3 linked regions of the Arabidopsis thaliana genome follow. The protein of the gene in region 3 interacts with the protein of the main gene of each other region in a pairwise test. Each region holds a gene or a part of one and is shown on either strand. Other genes may lie near its edges. The genes, in order: AT4G13530, SUT2 and AT3G56200.

Region 1 (7,043 bases), on a different chromosome or scaffold from region 3:
AGTAGATGATAGTGCCTTGTTCTTCCCGCTGCTACCGCCGAGGATACGCAGACTCTGTCTCAGTAAGTCAATCTCTCTTTCCTTCCCATTTTGTTGTTTCTCCATCAAATTTATTCTCCCTTTCAGTGTCTCAATGGTTTCTCCCCTAGCTTTAACTTCCTTTCTGAGTTCTTGCACTGCCTTTGCAACTTCTTCTTGCGGTTTCTGTCTCAGTGCCTCTCCTACAAAAGAAAAAAAAAACTCATTACCTTCCTTTCTCAAAACATCAAAGATGAGATTATTTGTGAAAGGTCTTACCATATGTTGTGTGGATGAGATCATCAAGCTCATTCTTGATAGCAAAGTAGAGCTGCTTCCACCTCTCCACAGCTTCTTCCCTCACTGCTCTCTCTAAACACATCTGTTCCACGACCCATTCCCACTCGTGTTGTTTCGCCTTTCCTTCTTCCTTCTCTTCCATCTTCTGTCTCAGCCTCTTCACTTCCTCTCTCAGTCTCTTCCTCTCTTTCCTCCACTCTGTCTCTGCCATCTTCAACGCCAAAATCACTCTCTCTTTCTCATCAAGCTCTCTTCTTGTTTCTCTCCTTCTCTGTTCATTTGCTTTCACCTTGATGCGTCTCTTACTACTGTTTCTCTCATCCTTGCTTGTAGAACCACCCATGAAGAAAAGCTCTCTTTCTCTCTCTATCTCTGTAGAACTTTTGTTCTATTTTGAATGTCTTGTTTGTTTCATTCAATGAAAAAAAAAAATGATTATTGTGAGTGAAGAAAGCTCCACTTTGCGGCATTGCAGACACATGTTATTTATATAATATGGTCCAAACCAAAAGCATCTTCACTTATCCTAAACACACAATAGGAAAATTATGGAATGTCTTATCACAAAACTAATCACACAAACACACATTGTGGCTTGAGTTGATTATTTCTTATGGAAACTGAGATAAAAAGACAAAAGAAGTTATGGGCACTCTCAGGACATAGTACTGAATAGGAAACAAGAGAAAAAGGAATTGAAGTGGTGTTACAGAATATGAAAAGCAGTGTTTTTTCTTCAATCTCCAATTAATGGTGTGGGCTTTGATTGTTTGTCACATGCATCATTAACATGGACCCATACCTATTTACTCCTATTTTTTCTTCCCAATATTTGTAGGTTTTATAGGTTTCTCTCAAACTTTTGGTCTAATTTGTCTTCTTCTCATGGAGGAAATTGTTACATAGGTCTTAAGTTATTGTCTGTGTTTTTATAGACCGAATCAAACATAGCAAACCAAAATTTGAGTATGTTACGTGAAGACAATGGGTAGATTTATCTTGAAGTTCGAATTTTGGTTTGCTTTATTTCCGTTAAACGTCAATAGTTAAACTTCATGAGTATGCTTTAGCTTTGGATCCTTAGTTCCTTACAATACTCACTTGTGATTTAAGTATGATAAGTGAGTATACCAAACTTTGGTGGTACAATGGTCAACGAATAATAGAGTGAAAGAAGACAAAGAAACAAGAAGAAGAGACATATATCTAATCACAATTGACATCGTAGAGTTTAGGATAGCTATAAAGTGAAAGATAGACTCCTACATGGCTACATCAATCAGAAACATTGCCCTCTTCACGTGAACTTCCCTGTTAATTTGGGTTTTTGTCTTAACCCTTTTCATATCTTAAAGAGTCGTACTTTCTAAATAAACAACCAAAATTCCGTTATTGGCTTTTGTCTTTGTACAATCTCTTTACGACACTGCCTACTAAGACCAGCTCAGAAGCTTATCAAGGTTAGATTCTGACCGCAACCTTCCAAAACTGCACTATGATTCTGATCCAATTTGTATTCCACCAAGCAAGTAACAATATATACACACACAGTACAAACTTACAAGCATCTTTTTGTATGTTTTTGTAACATTTTTAATACAATCATATGATACATGCACCAACCACATCAAATCATATAATCTCACATATATGCATTATTATGCCCTCAAATTCACTTAATTTTCACCTTAAACTCATCATGGACCACTGGTTCATACCCACTGATGACGGAAGTGCTGGCCGGATTATGGGCACACGTTTCACTACCGAGATTGCTTCGTTCCACCGAGCAGCATGATTCGCCACCTTCTGAAAAAAGTATTTCATTCAAAAGACAGACAATACAAGAATCAGATGGTGTAAAAATCTTCCGAATTGTGTTCTGAAATACTTAGAACTTTTGTTCTTCATTGCCATGAGTGAAAAAGATGAATACAAGTCAAGCAAGAACGTGAATTTCAGCAGCAAAAGACATATTTGATCCGCCAAGTTATATGCAACCGTAAGCAGGATTCAAACTTGGGTCCTTACTGAGGCTTTGTACCAGTGGAAGATCAGTTAAACTAAACTTTCAGGTTTTACCACTACTTTTATCCATTCCTCAAAGAAACATTTTACGATAAGATTCGTAATATATAGTAACTTCCATCTCTGGCTACCAACATGAAAAATCTACAAAGAATAACTACTGAAAACTAGTCTAAAGATCTTTCAACTATCCTTTAGCTATTAGAAAGAACATGCAAACTCAAAATGTAAAAATAAAAAATATGTTGTTTAAGCATTATAGGAGATGAAACAACAGAGAGGACGGACAAAGAAATAGATCACCCAGGTGGTATTCTAACGACTATTAACACTGCTCTCACCAACTACACATTCTATGCCAAAAGTATCTATCAAGAACTCAACCGATGCAGTGGTGCTATATCAAAAACCCTTAGCAAGATAGTGTAAATGGGTACGAGTGTATGCCTGTTGGTGAATACTATGACCTCGAGTCGCTGGTTGCATCTAAACTACTTAGCAACAAGAAACTGGTCCCAGGACAAACAAGGGGATGATCTGATCTTCTCATTTTCCCCATCAAAACAACAATTGACACTAATAAAACATCTAACTAAGCAGTAAAAGTTGAACTAAGCAGAGCTCATATCACACCAAAAGATCATACAGTAACCACATGACTCATGAATCAACATACTCAAAGAACAATAAACAATCAAATAAACCAAGCTAGTTACCTTATCATCCAAAAGAACCTTAAGCTGCAAGGAACGAGTCTTCTTCTTCATATTGTACAATCTACGCCCTAACATAACAAAACCCACAAATGCTGCAGCCATGGACAAAGACCAAATAGGATTAATTTTCAACACACAATACTTCAACACCTCTATTGGAATTTTCCACCACACAAACCCTTTCTCTTCTCCTCCTCCACCACCAGATTTAACACCAGGATCAATAGAAACAGAGTTTCCTTCTCCTTCCACTGGATGAAGTAAAGATTCTTCCTTTCTCTCATCAGAGCTTATCAAATCCATGTCTTGAGCTATACTTTCACTATATTCAACAATACCCACTTCGTTTCTCTCTATACCCATCTCGTTATTCACATCATCATCCACTAACCTCTGATCATCAAGCCGATCACTGCTTGAATCAGACCATAACTCACTAAAATGCTTCGGACCATAAGGAACATCGGAGCTAGGTTCGATCCATCCTGGACTACCCGATTGAACAGACCCATCTTCATCGTTTGCCTCCAAACGAGACAAACCACTCTGGTTCTCAAGAGAGAAATGATCAAACCTAATCATACCTTGCGTGCCATCATCAATCTCCTCCAAGCTCCTCGAATTGTCATCTTCCGTGGTAGATCTCGAGCTCTGAAGTATTTCCCAGTCTTGAATCTCTCCTTCCATGTCAAAGTTAGGGGTTTTTTCGATCCAATTGAGGAAAAGAAACAAAAGGAGTCTTTGTGTTGGGGCGAAAACAGAACCGAAACGCTTCTTTCTCTGTGTGGAGATCACAGAAACACTAGGTCGTGGTGTTAACGTGGCGTGGTGTGATTGGATAGAGGATGAAGTCAAAAGAGTGGTTTCGTTGACGTGTGGGTTTATGATAACTATATGGATTGACAGTGTATGTTGTTACGGTGGGCCGAGAAGTAGAGGACCTTCAACCGCTTTTGCTAATCAGATATGCTCAACTTGAAACTGGAGGGAGAGGAAGCAAACACGTCATATAAATGCATTTTGTGAAGAACATCATAATTTATTGATACCGAACCAAATCCAATAGAATGTATTTTTACTTTTTACTATTTTACTTTTCGTTTTTTTACTTGTTTTTTCTCGTTCAAATTAGGTGATCGATGAATTGATAATTTAATTGTAATCCGCGTAATTCATATTCCTTCGGTTCTATTTTGTTGATTTTGAAGAAAAAAAAAATTGTTTCAAAAAAATTGATTTTTTAAAATTTTTATGTAATATTTATTAGTTTTTATTAATGAATTGTAAACTTTAATAAAAATAATTAAATTTTATTGGTTTAAAGTGATAGAAAATTGTAAAACACAAAATATAATATATTTAAAATCAACTTTAATATATTTACTTTTGTGTGTTTTTTTCTAACAATCAAACAAAAAAAACAGAGAAAATATTTATTTATTTTTGCTAAGAAACATAGGAAATATTTAATATTAATCGAAACCCAACTTTTTTTTCAATAAATGTTTAGCGTTAATATCATAGTTTAACAAACATTCTTTTTTATAACTCAAAATTTTAGAGTTTAGTCATTAAACCAAGATGTGGAGATTTTATAAAGGTTGAGGTAGGGAGGAGAAGAAAGTTAAGAGGCTCATGGATGGTGGCTTGCAGAGATTTGGGAGTTTTTGAGAGAGTTGATGACGTGGCAACTTGAGAACACATTTGTTAAAAGGCTGAGGTGGGTAGTGTGAGAGGCCTCAAATAACTTTTTTTTTATTAGTAAGAGATTCTGAAAAGAGGTTACCGATATCTAATGAATTGCTATCGAATGTTGAAATCTCATGAAATTTGGCTACACTACATACATACGACTATAAGGCAAGTAACAAAGACTGCTAGGGACTGACAAAGTGACAAGTGACATCTTTATGCTTAGCCTCCTTTTCCTTTCTACCATAGTTGAACATCAAGCACATTATTTCCATCTCAAAACCGGCCCAGAGAATATAATATGACACGATGCAACAACAGAACTTGGCCAGGGGAATTATACACCCCCTCCTACATACCACAAGACAGGAATTATACACCCCCTCCCACATACCACAATACAACACACATTCAGAGACCACGAGATGGTGAATTTACAAGAAATCAACATGGAACAAGATACCATATCCATATAAATCATTGACTGATGTATCTGAGTTACATGGAAGATACAAGAGACTATTTCTCTTAGGCCATTAAATTGTTGGTAGGAATATGTGCTTCAGTATGAGTTCCCTAGTTCACTTAATCACTAGTGGAAAGTTACAGCTTACATGAGGATTTCATCTCTCACCGGGAAGTTTCTCTAGACCCGGTGAGTCACATGAATATCAACACAATGAAACACATCAACACATATTTCAGAGACCTCAGATGTTGAAATTACAAGCAATCACAATGGAATATGGTACCAAATGAATCAATTAGTTTCTATCTTAAGCCAATATCAATAACTTTCACATTCTTCACATACAAATTCACAACATTCTTCACATACAAAGACTCTAATTTTCAGTTACTAAAATACCAAAACACTAAAGAAAATTAGGTTTCAATCTCCAAAAAACATCATCATCTCCAGAACCAAGGAAAAAAAAAACATTCTAAATTTGAGCCAAAAAAAACAATCAGACAAAGCACAATAACACACAAATCAAATGTTTTAGTAATCCAAATGAAGAAAAACATTGTTACATACCACAAACATAAAAATCCCAGAACTTATTACACACTTACTACATAGGTTTCTCCACAAATTACATCAAGTTTAGGAAAAAAAACTGAAATCTTAAAGAGGAAACTTAACCGGATTTAGTTGATATCGGTGTCATCGAAATCATCATCGAATTTGTTGAAGAAATCGGCGTCGGCGAGCTTGTTATCTGAGACAAGTCCTCCTTCGTTGAGTATCTCCATGGCTTCGAGGTCATCAACGTCCATGGCCATCGAAGAACCTGCATCATCCATCTCCGATAACATATCCAGCTGCATCGGCCTCATTTCTCTCTTCGTCTCTTCTTCGTTTTCTTCTTCGGGAAAGATCTAAAATGTTACAGTGACTGACTGTCGAAGTTTTGATGTTGAGGTCATTTTCTTTTAGGCCTAAATGTTGTGGCCCATCTTTATCTTCTTAGGCCCAATTGATGTGGCCCATGTTAATTTTAATCGTTCATTTTTCGTAGTGATTTTTAGCTGAATCTGTGGATTTTTTTTTTTTTTTTTAAGATACATCAGTTGAGGAATTGGCTGAAAAGTGGAACTAGAGGAATTTTTAGAATTTTTTTTTATTAATACCATGTTTATATCCTCTATTAAACAAATTTGATTAATGCAATTTTAAAAGCTACAAAAAAAAACTCAAATTATTTATATATAATTCTGTTGTCTGTAAAATTATAAAATAATATCAAGATAGAATAGTTTTCTAGTTGACGAAAAAAAATTAGGTTTCTAGTTAATAAAAATTAGAAAAAACTATCAAAGTTAAAATGTAAAATCAAAGTAATAGTTTTTTACTATTAAATTTTCATTAGTTAGGTCAAAATCAAATTTAGGATTGGGTGATTTAATCCCAGTTAATTCTGACTACAAAATGGTTAATTAATATATATAATTCAGTAGTTGATATGTTTCTGCATACATTGAAATAAATTAAACTATCACAATCGAAAGTCGTAAAATACGATTGATGGATGCGATTATTCTCTCTCGTTAATCACGAAGATAAATCTATTTGTTTCACTTTTACGGAAAGGGCAACGAGTTAATTTGTACATGGTTGTGTTAGTCATATTTAATATGGGCTGGTTTTACTCTTTTTGTTTGCCAATGAGCTAGTTTTCCATTTGTTACAAATTTTTTTTTTTTTTTTCTGCTAAGAATGTAAATATTTCATTGAAAAATGAAAAAGGTTTAGGAGATACAATTAAGTAAATCCTACAATTTTGG
Region 2 (8,325 bases), on a different chromosome or scaffold from region 3:
AAACACTGCACCAAAGTTTTGGAAAATATAAAATTTTAAGTTAATCATATAATTTTTTTTTTTTGGTCTAACGTTAAATTAGTTAATCATATAATTGATTACTCGACCACTCTTAATTGATTCCATATATTGACACTCAGATTATAAAGTAGCTGGAACTGTTTAGGAATTTCATAAATCTACATACTATAACGTTGGTTGAGATATTTCTTCATGCGAAAACAATTTTAATTCATCACTCAAGTATACCAAAATAAATTAAAAATTAGGTTAGTGGTACTATTTATGATATTTTAAAATATTTTTTGTTAAATTTAAACGCACATGAATTTTTGCTATACACATAAATCAGCGTTTGTGAATAATCGAAACTAGAAAAAAAATTTTGGAGAAGGAAGATGTATACATACATATCTATAATATAGTAAAATATATCACAGGCTCAATCATGTAAAAGATATACACTATTTAAACTGTGTATGCAAAACATTTATCAATCATATTTGTAACCTTTAAACTATAGGAAGTTTTTTATTTGTCGTGTGCTTTATACAAAAGCACATCTTGCCCATACTTAGAAGCAGCCATGATATGGATACATCCCTAGTGGATATGAAGATTAGAAAGCTTAACTGCTTGTGGTTTAAGTGTAACAAGATAGTATAATAATTACTGAAGCTTGATTAAAAGGATGTGAAGTATATACCAAGAACGTCGCCGGCTCTAAAGTGTTTGCCTTTAGGCCAACCCACAGCGTTAAAGGTCCAGATACCAGAGTCACCGACCGTGTACGTTGCAGCTTGAACGTAGTCAGCTTGAAGCAACAACACTGACACAGCCATGAGAGTCACTATGGCTCGAGCCGACCATGATGCACTGCCTCTTCCCTTGGCCATTGATCGATCTTAGGTGAAAGTTTAGAGAAAGAGAGAGAAACTATAGAGAGTAAATGAGGATGAATTGAAGAGTAAATGTACAAAGGGTTTTTAAAGAAGAAGAAAATAAGACATTCAATGTTTTTATTTTATTAAATTGGGTGTCTCAACAACCCATGATATATGTTCATTTATTATTTTTGGCCACATTGTCTATGTAGAAATTGATTATAGACTTAACTTCGGTTTCTTTTGTCTCATTATTGAAGATAAGAGTTTGGTTTTGACATTGTTACACTAAGTTGAATTTTGTTTCTTTGTTTTGAAAATGCTTATATCAACTAAATAAGGAACTTGTGGACAAAGACTATGTCATCAACAACCCACGATATATGAGCATTTATTATTTATGGACACATTGTTTCTATTGGAGATATAGTTTGGTTATGATTTTAGTACATAGTTTATAGGCGAAAATAGGTTTGAATTTGTGTTCTTATTGAAATGCTTTGTTATATTAGTATGGTAATGTTGGGAAAACGTACACATCATAGGTTAAAGAACCAACAGTATTGTGTTATTAGATTGGACTATTGAGTTTGGAATATGTTGCTTCAAGTTTCTATTTGTGAGGAAAGGAACACACAAATATAAAGTGATTCAAAATAACGAAGATATATTCTACGTGAGAAGAGAGGTACTGTAAATTTAGAGTCACATTGCTGTGTATAACATATAAGAAAACTAGATGTACAAAACCTACTTACATATACGCCGAGAGGAGAACGTGGTCAAAAAGAATCGGGTAGATCTAACTGTGAATTTTATGTCTGTGGTATAAAGATTTTAGCCGATGTGGAAACCGGTGGACTTGAAAGAACTCGATAGCGTGGGAAGCCTTTGCAATGCAATAACTCCAGCAGCGAAAGCAGCAACAGACGCCAAAACAAACGCCGGTAAGTTTCCTCCTCCAAACAATTGATCCCATGGACCCGCTCCAAGTGATACTATCATCTGTTTAGAGCCAAAACCATATTCAGACACTATTTACGGGTCAAGACTACACTCGAAGTGAGTGGCATTATACAAGAGAATGAAATTTATCAGTGTAATTAGATTTGAGAGATTGCCTGGGGAATAACGATTGCGAGATTCAACACTCCTATAGCCAAACCTGGAGTGAGGAAATGAAACCATTAGGGATTACTGAAATCTAAGATTTAAGTACAAAAACTATGAATATAGTGAAGATATGAATCTTTTCACAGACCTTGACCGCCACCGGAATCAGCAGTGACTTCTGCTGTGACAGAGAAAGGGACACTGTATGTGATCTGCATTAAAGAATGGTTTTATCACATATTTTAGAGAAATGTTGCAACACGAAAAGAATAAAGAGAATTACGGTTGAAAGAAAGCACATACAGCTAGGGGAAAACCAAGGAGTGCAAAAACGATTACGGCTGCGGTTCTTGTTGTTTCGTTTCCACGCATTATGTATTCAATTCCATTTTTGTCATCACTGAGAGACATCAAGCTGATTACAGCTGTTCCCGCCATGCAGGCAAATACAGTAAAATTGCTCAAAGCCCATACAACCCGAGCACCCATCCGCTGACACATTGGTTCAATGAGAAATGAGCTGATCCCAAGAACAACCTACGGAAACAGGGAAGAAGAATATTCAATAACGGGCGAGTAATTGAATTTTGAAGAGCAGTGCAGTTAAAAAACAGGTTATTATAACGATTCTTACAGAGTTTAGTAGCAAACCAAGTGCACCTTCACGTACACCTTGATCATAGAGTTCCATATGCAAACTATCTCCTGTTGGATCCCCATGGTAAACTTCTCTTCCCATCCAATCTGTATCGAACAGAAAGAAGGGGAACCAGGATAACTGCAAAGAACAAGACCACAATCAAAAATATAACAGAAGCAAATAATTTTAAAGATCATTAAAGAGTTTAAGAAAAGAAACAGTGTGAAATATGTAATAACTGATCATAATTTTTCTTTGGCACTCACCCATGTAAGAGCCATGACGATAAGAACTGAGTGCATAGCCGGTGGCAAATGCCTTAAACTAGTTAGCAAATTCACTAAAACAGATCCAGGGCCATCAACGTAGGTCTCATCTTGATGCTCATTCTCTGAATTGCCAAACTGTTCATCCGTATCACGTTCCACTCTCTCATACTTGATTCCATTGGCAGTACCATTATTTAATTTTGAATGCTCAAGGCCTTTGGACTGGAGATCATCCAACAAAGGTGCAGAATCTTGTATGCGGGTGGGCTTGTTGCTTGTAAAAGGAATCTCTTTAGCAAAATAGATTGTGACAAGAGTACATATAGTGAGAAAGACCTGAAAAAATGATTTAAACTCTTAAAACATATAGAACAATATATTCAGATTTTAGACTATGAAACAAGAACAAAAGCCACTGGGTGCAATAATATAATTTCACTTTCAAAATCACCTCAAAAATAATATAGACATACAAACAGAACGCATTGATTTGCGACATATATGAATCACAAGTCACAATGTACAAACGTGAGAGTGTTTCGTAAAGACCAGCCCATTCCATTGCAATTTAGAAAGCTTAGTAAGATGCATGTGTCAGAAAATTAAACATACTGCTTACCACTGCAAGAAGAAACGCTGCTTTGAGATTTCCACATGCAGCACAACATGCTCTACTAGTTAAAAAAGGGAACCATCTGCGCAGTAAAATTGCCTGATCATTTAACAGCTGGCGGAAAATGCAAAATTGCAAATGAGGAAAAAGAATACAAGATTTTGAGAATAAGGATCTCAAAGATTACTCTTGCCATTTTCCGCTAGCACCGGCAGAAAACCCAAGGATGTTCCCAATAGCCATCCACAAGCAGAACACAGCATTTGCAGTATTCCGCTGATCAGGACCTAGGGACAGCAAGAGACATCTCATTAGAAGCACAGCATATTCAATCTGATTCTAGAGTTTGAATAGAAATTCTGTTCTGTTAAGTGTATGGTTATATTCCATTATTACCTGATAGATCAGCTAGAAGAGCACGAGCAGGTCCCTGAAAATAAAAAAGCCGAAAACATCATTCCTGGATACAGAGGTAATGACTAGTACCATTCACTCAAGTACATTGCAGAGGCAGATCTGAACCTGTACTGTATTGTTTGCTAGATCCAACAACCAAAACCCAATGATAAAGACAACAGCTGCCCTGGTTCGTGTGCCTTTGAAAGTACTGCATTTCAAGATACACATCAAGTCGTCAGTTACTTTAATTTTGATACATTCCATAAAAAACATGCCATTGGCAGGGGAGCAGGAGAGTTACCTGCAATGTTCCTTTGAATCTCCTAACAGATACCCAATGTCTGCAGAAAATCCGATTATTATCACCTAAATTGCAAGCTTTTGTTTAGCTTATATAAAACACAATGTAGCCAGCTATCTCCTAAAAGAAAATCAAAACAGAAATCATATCTTCTATTGGCACTTACTGCTATTGAGATCATGAATGATCCAACTAGAATAAATGGTCGTCTTCTTCCATACTTTGAAGTACATTTATCACTCCAAATGCCAACAAAAGGCTGGACCTAAAACCCAACAAACAAATAAGTATGAACAAAATGGGGCAGAAAAATAGTTTCTGATCCAATATAAATCAAAACTTGAACTCTCGTGAGATCATTACGTGCAAGATAGTAAAACTGCTAAAATTCTTAAAGAAACTTTTAACCTACCACAAGGCCTGTAATTGGGCCGCACAGCCAAATAAACGAAGAAAAAGCATGCGATATTCCAAGGGTCTGCATCAACCAACCAAATGCAACACTGTTAGATAAAACTCAAAAGGGTTCTTCAGCAACAAGAAAATCAAAATACTTCCAGCAAACAGATATTTAACAATAGTTCTATCTACCACCATAACTACCCACCTGATACATATATGACCAGTACAATACTATTCTAAACACAGTCTAATCTCTGATTATACAATAGTTCCGAAAAAGGCTAAGGTCTTTTATATTTTTACAAATGCTTATGTAATCCAATGAACATAAACAATCTAGCTAAATTCCAATGTCATATACTCTTCGATAAGCCAATGCTATAGAGTTCCATACGAAAATATCTCATGGCTATGTTGGTGACAACAACTACCTAACCTAAGTATTAGAATTCATTGATTCACCTACAAAGTACTCGACTTTCTCGTACAAAGCTACACAAGAACAAAACCCTCGAATCTAAATTGCTATAGAGAAAGCCACAAGTGATAGAAATGGTAACAATGACAAGAGTAATAGTAAGTACCTGAATATAAGGAGTAAGAAGAGAAAGTTGCAATGCCCAACCAAATTGAACTCCAGCGGCAACTGTACAACTAAGAACCAACGTCACTAAACTACAATTCTTCGACACAGATTCACCATCAGCCGAATCAGAATGATTCGAAGGAGAAGCAGATTCAGAGAACGACGAAGAACCAGATTCGTTTTGACGATGCTTGGTGACCGTCTCAAGTTCAATTTCCTTCCTCAAATTCCTATACGGAACCGAGATCGACACCGAGTCACTCATCGTCCTCAACACACAGATCCCTAATTCGTATCAAAATCAATTTCTCATTCCGATTTAGATTTCTAGGGTTTTGATCTCGTCGATCTAGATTCGGAGACGATGATCGGAGAGTCAAATTCGGGCGGGTGAATATTTTGATGAAATCGATTTTTTTGAGGTGATTGAGAGAGAAGACGCGGAAGTGAAGAAGGAAGGAAGATTCGTTTTACAGGGAACCGTTGATTTGTAGATTAACGGATGAGATTAAAACCTAACTTAATAGTCAACGTTTTCGTCTCGGGCTTTGTGTAATCAGCACCGTTGGATTTGATCGGATCAAAACCGTTGCTTCAATTTAAAGGAAGAGCGGACGAAACTCACCGTCACCGACACCAAACAAAAAGTGTGTGCTTTTAAAAAAGTAAAACGGTGTCGTTTGATAAGAGTTGAGAGTGGGCCTGTAGTTTTTTGTAGCTCGGCCCATTTTTGTAAGAAATTCACAACTGTGGTACATTTAGCCCAAATATTAAGTCTATTAGAAGAAAGCTGTCTCATTTTTTGTTAGCATACACACCTAAAACCTATAAAACATGTGTCAAGATTATATGATTCATAGCTATGTCCCTTCTTCTATTTTCTGATGCCTTACACTGCGAACACTGTGATTAGTGATTACATTGGTTCAAGTTTGACTTCATGAAATATGTTTGGTTCAAGTTTGCTTCTAATGCTACCATTCAAATCCAAACTCTCACAATTGCATATTATTAAAGAAAAAAGGATAAGACGTCTCAAAGAAATTTTTTTATATAAAATCATATAGGGTATGTTCTTATTAACGTATATATGAACATGTGTTACTAATTTAAAAACAAAATCATTTTGTAAATTTGTGTTTTACAACAAATATTTTGTGGGAGATTTTAGGTGCTAGCAATAATAAGTAATGTTAATTAAGAGAGTTATAAACATTTTTTCACTATTTAATAGTGTTTTTTTCTTCTTACCAATGTCACTATTTACAAGTATATGTATTTTCTAATAACTAATGTAAACATGTTTGTAAAAAGATTATATAACATATATGTGTGTGATTGTGAAGGTGATAGAGTTCTTCTTACCAATGTCACTATTACAAGTATATGTATTTTCTAATAACTAATGTAAACATGTTTGTAAAAAGATGATATAACATATATGTGTGTTAACGTGATAGAGCCGGATTAAACGAATAAAAGGAAGAAAGTTAGAAATAAAAAGGAGGAAAAAGGAAAAAGACGTGTGCCTAACAAATGTATCATGTATTGGTACAAAAATGCAAAGATGATACATAATTATTAATATTATTCTTGCTTGTGGAAAATGAAAGCTAATAGGGCACACAATTGAATTAATACTTACGTCTCTCTTTCTCCATCTCTTCCCTTGTCCCTCTCTTCTCCTTTCCTTATCCACGTGTACATGACTCTTATGTCCCATCTTTTTTTTCTTTTTCTTATCATCAAAAGTTCAAAAACAAATCCTTTTGAGTTTAGTTGTTATGGTGTGCATGCATGTATGATGTATCCGAACCAAAGTATAGTCGAAAATCCAAATTTTGTATTCTTTAATGGTTAATGGTTAATTGAGAAGTTATAGCCGAGTCTCATACACTTGTTGTCCATCAAAACTGATACCATTCTCAATAGTATTTGAACCAGAAAACCACTATTACTCACTTTTGTAAAAGAACTATACATACGCGCCGTTAGACCAAATATCACTTATTACAAAACAAATTTTTTATCTATACCATGTTATAATTTTACATAAGAAAAAATAAAATAAAAAATCGGATTATTCCATTCAAAAAAGCATTTACATAAAATTCAAGCCTATATAGGCAATTTGGTAGCATTGACTCGGTTTCTCCACAAAAAAATGAACCTTATTACACCTTTGGTTTTATCTTATTTGAGATTGATGATTTGATCATGTGCCAATTTTTATTTTTATTTTGTTATAAAAAAGATCAAGGTTAATAAGTTGATTGAAAAACAGTAATAAGTTTTTTTAGTTTAATCATGTAATTACATTTGACAAAAAGCACGTGTTGAACGCGGCTATGACCCAAATAAAAGAGAAAAAAACATATGTACCATAACTTAACACGTCATCTCCTTAACGTCGAGCACGTCAAATGCTTACGCCTGAAAATAACTCCTTCGTCATTTCTCAAACGACAAATTCAAATATTAATAATATAAAAACTATATGTTTAAAAAAAAAAAAAGAGATGCGTTATTACAATAAATTTAATTTTCTAACTTAGTGATTGGTTGGCAATTTTGTCGTTCTCTGTCGATAGATCATAATTTATAATGTGATATTTACATATATACATAAGAATGGGGCTTACACTGTTTCACATAATAACTCCATTAAAGTTGATAAAGAAAAATTATAATGGTCATTAATCATTATTGAGAATGTAACCATCGATATTGAAAGATAGAAATGTGGAAAGAACGTGAAGAAATAAAAAAGAATCACGTCACGTGGAGACAGCTCTTTTACGAACTCTTATATCCACTCACTTCATTAAATCATTTAAAAAGTGGACTATTTTTTAAAAAAGCAACAATGGTTTGTGCATATATTTGTAATGGTTTTTTTTCTAAAATCTTTGTGTCATTTAATTGTCCCAACAAAACCAATACATCATCTTGCTTTTTTTTGGGTCCGATTTGTGCATATATAGAGTGTTCATATAGAACGGAGTATATGCGAAACCTTAACTCGACTAATTAAGTTCGGAAGCTACGTCCAATTATAACAAAGTTGAGTCAAAAATGCATCATCCCCTGAACATCGTCTCGTTGACCGGACATCGAG
Region 3 (6,333 bases):
GTGTTTGATCTTTTGGTTTTTAAGATAAAAATGTGACTCTTTTGGTGCTTATTCACTTGTATGTCATGTTATGGTCTATGTTCTCTAAGTGGTTTTAGCTTAGATAACTTGTATGTCTGTTTTCTTTACTTTAAGTTCAATATGACTTGTATCACTTCGGCTTTAATGATATTGTTGTTTATTCTTGTGTTAACGGACTAAACGAGTGTTCAGCTTAATGTGTTCAGTTTTAATAAAACTTGTCTTAATGTGATATGTTGTCTTAATCTTTAGTTTAAGTATTCTATGTTTTCTTATTTGTGAATGTTTAGTCTTCAGTGTTAGTGTGTTGTGTTTCAATATGACTTGTGTTCGTAAGAAGTTCCATATGACTTGTCTTCAGTTTTAGTTCCAATGTGACTTGTGTTCAGTTTAAGTTCCATATGACTTGTCTTCAGTTTTAGTTCGAATAAAGCTTGTGTTTAGTTTAAGTAGCAAACAAGCTTGTGTTCAGTTTAAGTTCCATATGGTTGTCTTAATGTTAATGTTCTTGTATGTCTCTTCTTAATGTTGGTTTCTTGTTTTGTTACAGACTTAAATAATGCTTCCACCTTCTCTAAATCACTCCAGTGCCGACATTACTTGTATAAAAGAGACCACATGTTTTAAGTCACCACAAGTTTGTACTTTGGTTTGAATGCTTGTACACCACAAAATAATATTCGGAAAACACTAGTTCTTATTGTGTATTCTATGACATCACTTGTATGCTAAACAATAATTTTGTTTTCATTGTTCTAAATTTTGAAGTCTCTGTATATGCATACAAAAACACTCTTCTTTTATCCACTGTTATTGTTTTAAGTATCCACTCTTCTTGTTCTCTACAACAAACCCAATAAACATTCTTCTTTCACCAAATAAACACTCTTCTTTAACCTAATACACACTCTTCCTTTTACCCAATTAACACTCTTTTTCACAAACTAAGAAAAATTTCTCACTTAAGGATTCCACTTAAGGATTCCACCATTGGACACTAAAAATTATAAAGATTCAACCAAAAACTCTAAACTCTCATTTACTTAAAATTTACTATTAAAAAATTGTAAGGAGTCCTTAATTAGGACTCCCCAATGGGGATGCTCTAAGTCTTGGTATCTTCATAATCTTAAGCTTTCGAAGGTTTGTATCATCTTTATGTTCCTCTTTTTTTCCAACTTAGAACCCTTCAATTTTTGTTCCAAAAGAAAGGAATAGTCTGATACAGATGTACTTTGTTCATTCAAATAATGGTCTACAAAAAGTAATTTAAAGAATACAAGTTTTGAAGAGTTGTTCATTTCCTCTTTCTCTGTTTCAAGCAGCAACAAAAATTGCACTTTGTATAGCTATTACATTGCATTTTCTGACAAACCTATTTCACAAAGATATAAATATGAATGCTACGGCAAGCTAATAATTTTACAGATTTCTTTGAAGTGATCATGGAAGGGACTGTTTGCAAAACTTTTTTCAACGACTAGTTTGCTGCGAGGCTGTATAAATTTGTCGAGATAGCAATAATGCTAGTGGCAACAGCAAGAACAAGCATTATTGCAGCTACGATCTTCTCTCTTGAGGTTGATACACCATGGATATTCCTGCCATTTCAGAATCAGAAAGCAGTTGGTAAGATTTTTATAGGAAGTTTGAAGCAACTGATAAAGTACATAGTAAAGGAAACAAAGCATATCTACCTTAGAACAATGGCGGCTGGAAATATGAATGCTATGGAGACTGTGATGGTTGATCCCATGAACTGAAAGAAGTACCAAATGTCTGGTACAGCGATTGCAGACAAGAAACAGCAAATCAGTAGAGCCAGAGTGAGTCCGATGAATCTTTTTGTGTCTTTTTCCAAGGACGGCTTCTTGGGGTACAAGAGTTCGTCGAGATTTGCTCTCAATGAGAAGTTCAGGAGAGGAAAGACCAGCATGAGGTGAAGCACGTAGCTGAGTCTGACAATGTCGTTGAGAAGAGAACCAATGGAAGAACCAGAGCTCTGGTCAAAGTTCACTAGAATATCCGACATAGTTGCATCTCCAAAGAGAAGGTAACCAAAGAGTCCAGTTGCGAAGTAGATAGCAGCACACAAGATGACAGAGATCTTAGTTGCTGGGATCACTTGTAATGGATCTTTGAGCTCGAATCCAATTGGATGAACTGCACATTTTGAATCACAACACCAAACTCAGAAACATGAAAAAACAGAGAAAACAGAGAAACAGTTACCAATATGGTGAAAGAGATGGGTTCTTACCATTGAAGTGAAACGTGAAGGCTGTAACTATAACAGGGGAAGCTGTGAAGAGTTGCCAGAACGATCCTCCATTGCTCAACTCCGGAAACAGTCTTGGATTCTTCGTTTGTCCATTCACCAGCGCGGAAATCGCCAGCACCGAGCTTATGACAACAAATAGAACCGCAAGAAGAAACGATACAGCGGAACTAATTGCCAGTCTTTCTACATAACCATTAACAAAAAGAAAATCATCAACAATCTCATAGATATCCATAATTTTGAGAACACAAGATTATAGAGAGAAACTTACCGACTCGTCTACGCAGGACCAATGGAAGCAAGACAAAGCCGTAGACAAATAACAAAGCGAAGATTCTCGTGTTCCACCAGTAAGAACCAAACCATTCTTGCAAAACTCCAATATGTTCAGGACCACCATTTTCATTACCAGAAAGCACATCTCCTGAGAGAGTAAACACATACAAATCCAAACTCAGCCAATCTGTTCTTAAGCTCAAATAGTAGCTGAGACCTCTACACTTAGATGATTAGATCAAATTACTTTACCTATAATAATCGAAAATATAATCATACAACCAAAAGTAGCAACCATCGTAGCAATCTGTACAGCGATGGATCCTGTTTTACCAAACGACTCTTTCATAACTCCGGCGTAAGTAGTTGATTCTCCGGCGAGAGTTGATTTCATCAGAAATCCAACGGAAATTGTGGAAAGCCAAGCTATGATCGTGATAATCAAAAACGCTGGAACTATTCCAAGAACTTTAAACGCCGCCGGCATCGACATTATTCCGGCTCCGATTATACTCGTTGACACGTTGAAAACGATGCCGGAGGTTGATGATCCATGGTTCTCAGACGAAGAAGGTTCTTGCTTCGGCAAGAGATGAGTTTTGATCTGTGGTGTCATTTTTCTAACCGCCGGAGAAACGTAAGAATTTGCCGGCGGGAAGAAGCTTTCCTTTTTTGTAGTTGTTATGAGGAATCGGCTTCATATAGCCACACGGTTAATAGCGAAAAGTACATAAATACCCTTTGAAGATTGGGGATATATGCCTTGACCGTTTGGGGCAAAATCGAGAAAATGATATTTGACCATAGGTAAACCTGACAGGCTGGGCAAATCATGTCAGTGAGATCACCAAATGATCTTTCGTCACGTACTTAAAAACATCACGAAAATAATAATTTTGTTCAAGAGAGGAAATTACAGCTAAAATATGATGAACAATCATAATCATATTATAGACAGAAGTGAATTATTAACAAAAAAACCCCAAAGAATTATACAAAAAAATCCAAAATAAAATGGGTCCGTCCAACACTAATGAATGTGTGCACTTGGATTTCTTCACGAAGAATGTATCTAGACGAAAAAGTGGCCAAATGTGTATCATCGCTTCTCATCTCATATAAGTTGTCCAAAAAAGAAAAAAACTCCTAAATAATTTAAAATTTTCGTGGATATAATAAAATCCAATATATAATCATATCATTGGCGGCCTCAAAGATGGCTCACGTGTAATAAACTAACTTTAGAGCAGACGGTTCGAGACTTTTCATCAAGAAAACGAGAGGGCAGCGAATGCGGAATGTCGAATGAATAATTGAAAACGTGATAAACGAAACAATATAAGAATAATTAAACACTGTCTTCTAAAGTTATTTTTATTTAATCATTTCATATGAATCATATTGAAGTTACTCAGTTAACATTATAGAATGTGACTGATAGCAACATTAATATTGCCGCAGAAATCCCTCGTTGCAAAGTTACAGTTTATTTTAGATCATCTCTGTGTGTAAAGGAGAAGCTTCAGTCAACAACAACAGAGCTTGGGTCAAACTCTCTGCTCAGCTCAGAGTCTCCCAAACAGAATGCTATGGGCCAAGACACTAAGCCCAATACCATTCAACATGTCGAGAAGCCCAACAACAGAAGATTACCTCTGCAACTCACAAAAGACAAAAAAATTACCGATTACCCATGAAATGATTTGCTAAAAAATTGAACATTTCATAGATTTGTAACGGTTGTTATTTAGCCATTGTTGTTATTCATGTGTTTGATATTAAAACCGATATTGTTGTTACTCATGTGTTTGATATTAAAACATACTAGGTTTTTACCAGTTTGTGCATTTTGGAACATAGGTTTGTTTAGTGGAAACTGTCAGCAATATTTGTCGTGATTTGAGAACTATAATAATGGCTAATGAAGAATGTAGAAGGACGAGCAGATATAACAGGAAATCGTTTTACTTGATAATTCATGTAAGCTTTTCTTCAATCCCAACTGATAAACCTGATCCCATATTTTCTAAGCTTGGTTAAAGCGACCCAATAACAAAGTACGGAAAAACTTTTGATTGGGCTAACTTGGGCTTTTCAAAACAAAGCCCATATTTTAAATAGACAAATTTGGCCCACTTTAGTCGGTTGAAAAATCTTTTCCCCTATCGAAGCGTGTCTCTGATTTTTCGCTCTCGATCGATTCTCGTCTCTCTCTCTTTCATCGCAGCGAATAATCCAAATCGAAAGCAATTTCTCTCGACGAAGAAAAGAGAAGCAATCGGAGTCTGTGGAGGTAAAGAAGTACACGATCAAATTTCAAGTCAGAGTTTCGGGGAAAAAAAAGGAATGGGGGATCATCTGGTGAGAGCTGAGGAATTCGAGAAGAAAGCTGAGAAAAAGCTCAATGGATGGGGAATATTCGGATCTAAGTACGAGGATGCTGCTGATCTGCTCGAAAAAGCAGCTAATTCCTATAAGCTCGCCAAATCATGTAATTTCCATAAATAAAATTTCTTTGCTTTTGATTATTGTTTCATCGGATTGGTGTCGTGTTTTTTTTTATTGTTGTTCTTTGTGATGATGAGGAAGAAAAAAAAGGTGAAATTTGAAACGTTTGATCTTAGGTTTATCAGTTGCGGTGATTTGTCTATGGTCATGTGAGAAGTAGAATTAGTATCTGGGTTTATATTAGGTCTATTTTGATCTGTAAGAAATTTATGGTTGATAATTTCATACGAAAACATTTTAAATCGGAGATTCATCATTCTGATTCCTTGATATTGGTTTCTGGCCTTCTAGCAAGTCATTGATAAGTGGCACAATTATAGTACCTAATTTGGGTTCTATTTGGCTGAGTTTAATAGGTTTCATGTTCTTTTCTGATATTTGTTTAATTCTCCAACGCTATCTTCTTACTTATGTGTTGCATTTGTGATTGTTCAGGGGATCAAGCTGGAAAAGCTTATCTAAAACTTGCCGACTGTCACTTAAAGGTTAATTCTTTGGCAACACATATATATGATACTGGACTAATGTGTGGATTGTTTGATAACATTGATTTGCATGATTGCATCTGCAGTCAGATAGCAAACATGATGCTGCTAACGCCTATGCTGAGGCTGCTAAATGCTACAAGAAAGTTGACACTAATGGTATGTATAAAGCTACTTTTGTAATTGTCATCTCTGTAATGCAAGAGTGATTATGAATTCTTATGTGTTTTCATGCGTCCTAATATTATATGCAGAGGCTGCGTCTTGCCTAGAGCGAGCGGTGAATATATTTTGTGAGATAGGAAGGCTCAACATGGCTGCAAGATATTACAAGGTACCACTTGTCTCTTTTGAGCATGAATTAGATATTATTCTTTTAGTACGGATACTGAGAAGATAGTTTTATTGGGGCACTTCTTCTGTATTTCCTCCATGGTTCCTGTTTCTTTATGCATGTTCAGTCGGATTCAGATTGTCTTTTTCCTTTTCTAAACTAAAGTAAGCATGGTGCTGACTTGCTGTATTTGGACTAATTTGTACATTAATGGTTTTTTACTTTTGACAGGAAATTGCTGAGTATTATGAATCTGATCAGAAGTTCGAGCAGGCTATTGCTTACTTTGAAAAGGCAGCTGAATTCTTTCAGAATGAAGAAGTGACCACTTCTGCAAACCAGTGCAATCTAAAGGTTGCGCAATATGCCGCCCAGCTGGAGCAGTAAGATTTTCGGCACATTACCTTTCTTTTTGCTTTCTCATCCCT

Evidence for each region.
Region 1: the proteins of AT3G56200 (region 3) and AT4G13530 interact in a protein complementation assay, tested with the Arabidopsis thaliana proteins (one large-scale study listed by BioGRID).
Region 2: the proteins of AT3G56200 (region 3) and SUT2 interact in a protein complementation assay, tested with the Arabidopsis thaliana proteins (one large-scale study listed by BioGRID).

The regions. Positions count from the first base shown.
Region 1 is NC_003075.7:7,863,514-7,870,556, reverse strand, and holds AT4G13530 (uncharacterized protein), read right to left. Parts: upstream 4,230-7,043; 5' UTR 3,750-4,229; coding exon 3,063-3,749; intron 2,128-3,062; coding exon 2,002-2,127; 3' UTR 1,381-2,001; downstream 1-1,380. Other genes in the region: AT4G13540 (golgin family A protein), read right to left, coding at 1-221, 298-661; SMAP1 (small acidic protein 1), read right to left, coding at 5,907-6,095.
Region 2 is NC_003071.7:826,825-835,149, forward strand, and holds SUT2 (sucrose transporter 2), read right to left. Parts: upstream 5,796-8,325; 5' UTR 5,473-5,795; coding exon 5,206-5,472; intron 4,698-5,205; coding exon 4,632-4,697; intron 4,485-4,631; coding exon 4,386-4,484; intron 4,285-4,385; coding exon 4,220-4,284; intron 4,127-4,219; coding exon 4,042-4,126; intron 3,950-4,041; coding exon 3,916-3,949; intron 3,807-3,915; coding exon 3,707-3,806; intron 3,602-3,706; coding exon 3,526-3,601; intron 3,243-3,525; coding exon 2,904-3,242; intron 2,776-2,903; coding exon 2,632-2,775; intron 2,535-2,631; coding exon 2,301-2,534; intron 2,210-2,300; coding exon 2,146-2,209; intron 2,050-2,145; coding exon 2,006-2,049; intron 1,890-2,005; coding exon 1,722-1,889; 3' UTR 1,455-1,721; downstream 1-1,454. Other genes in the region: ARPN (plantacyanin), read right to left, coding at 1-5, 707-896. UniProt on the Arabidopsis thaliana protein: Responsible for the transport of sucrose into the cell, with the concomitant uptake of protons (symport system). Can also transport maltose at a lesser rate. May also transport biotin.
Region 3 is NC_003074.8:20,846,948-20,853,280, reverse strand, and holds AT3G56200 (Transmembrane amino acid transporter family protein), read right to left. Parts: upstream 3,520-6,333; 5' UTR 3,195-3,519; coding exon 2,831-3,194; intron 2,727-2,830; coding exon 2,574-2,726; intron 2,486-2,573; coding exon 2,282-2,485; intron 2,185-2,281; coding exon 1,719-2,184; intron 1,623-1,718; coding exon 1,502-1,622; 3' UTR 1,177-1,501; downstream 1-1,176. Other genes in the region: ALPHA-SNAP2 (alpha-soluble NSF attachment protein 2), read left to right, coding at 4,925-5,069, 5,522-5,571, 5,658-5,730, 5,826-5,905, 6,137-6,288.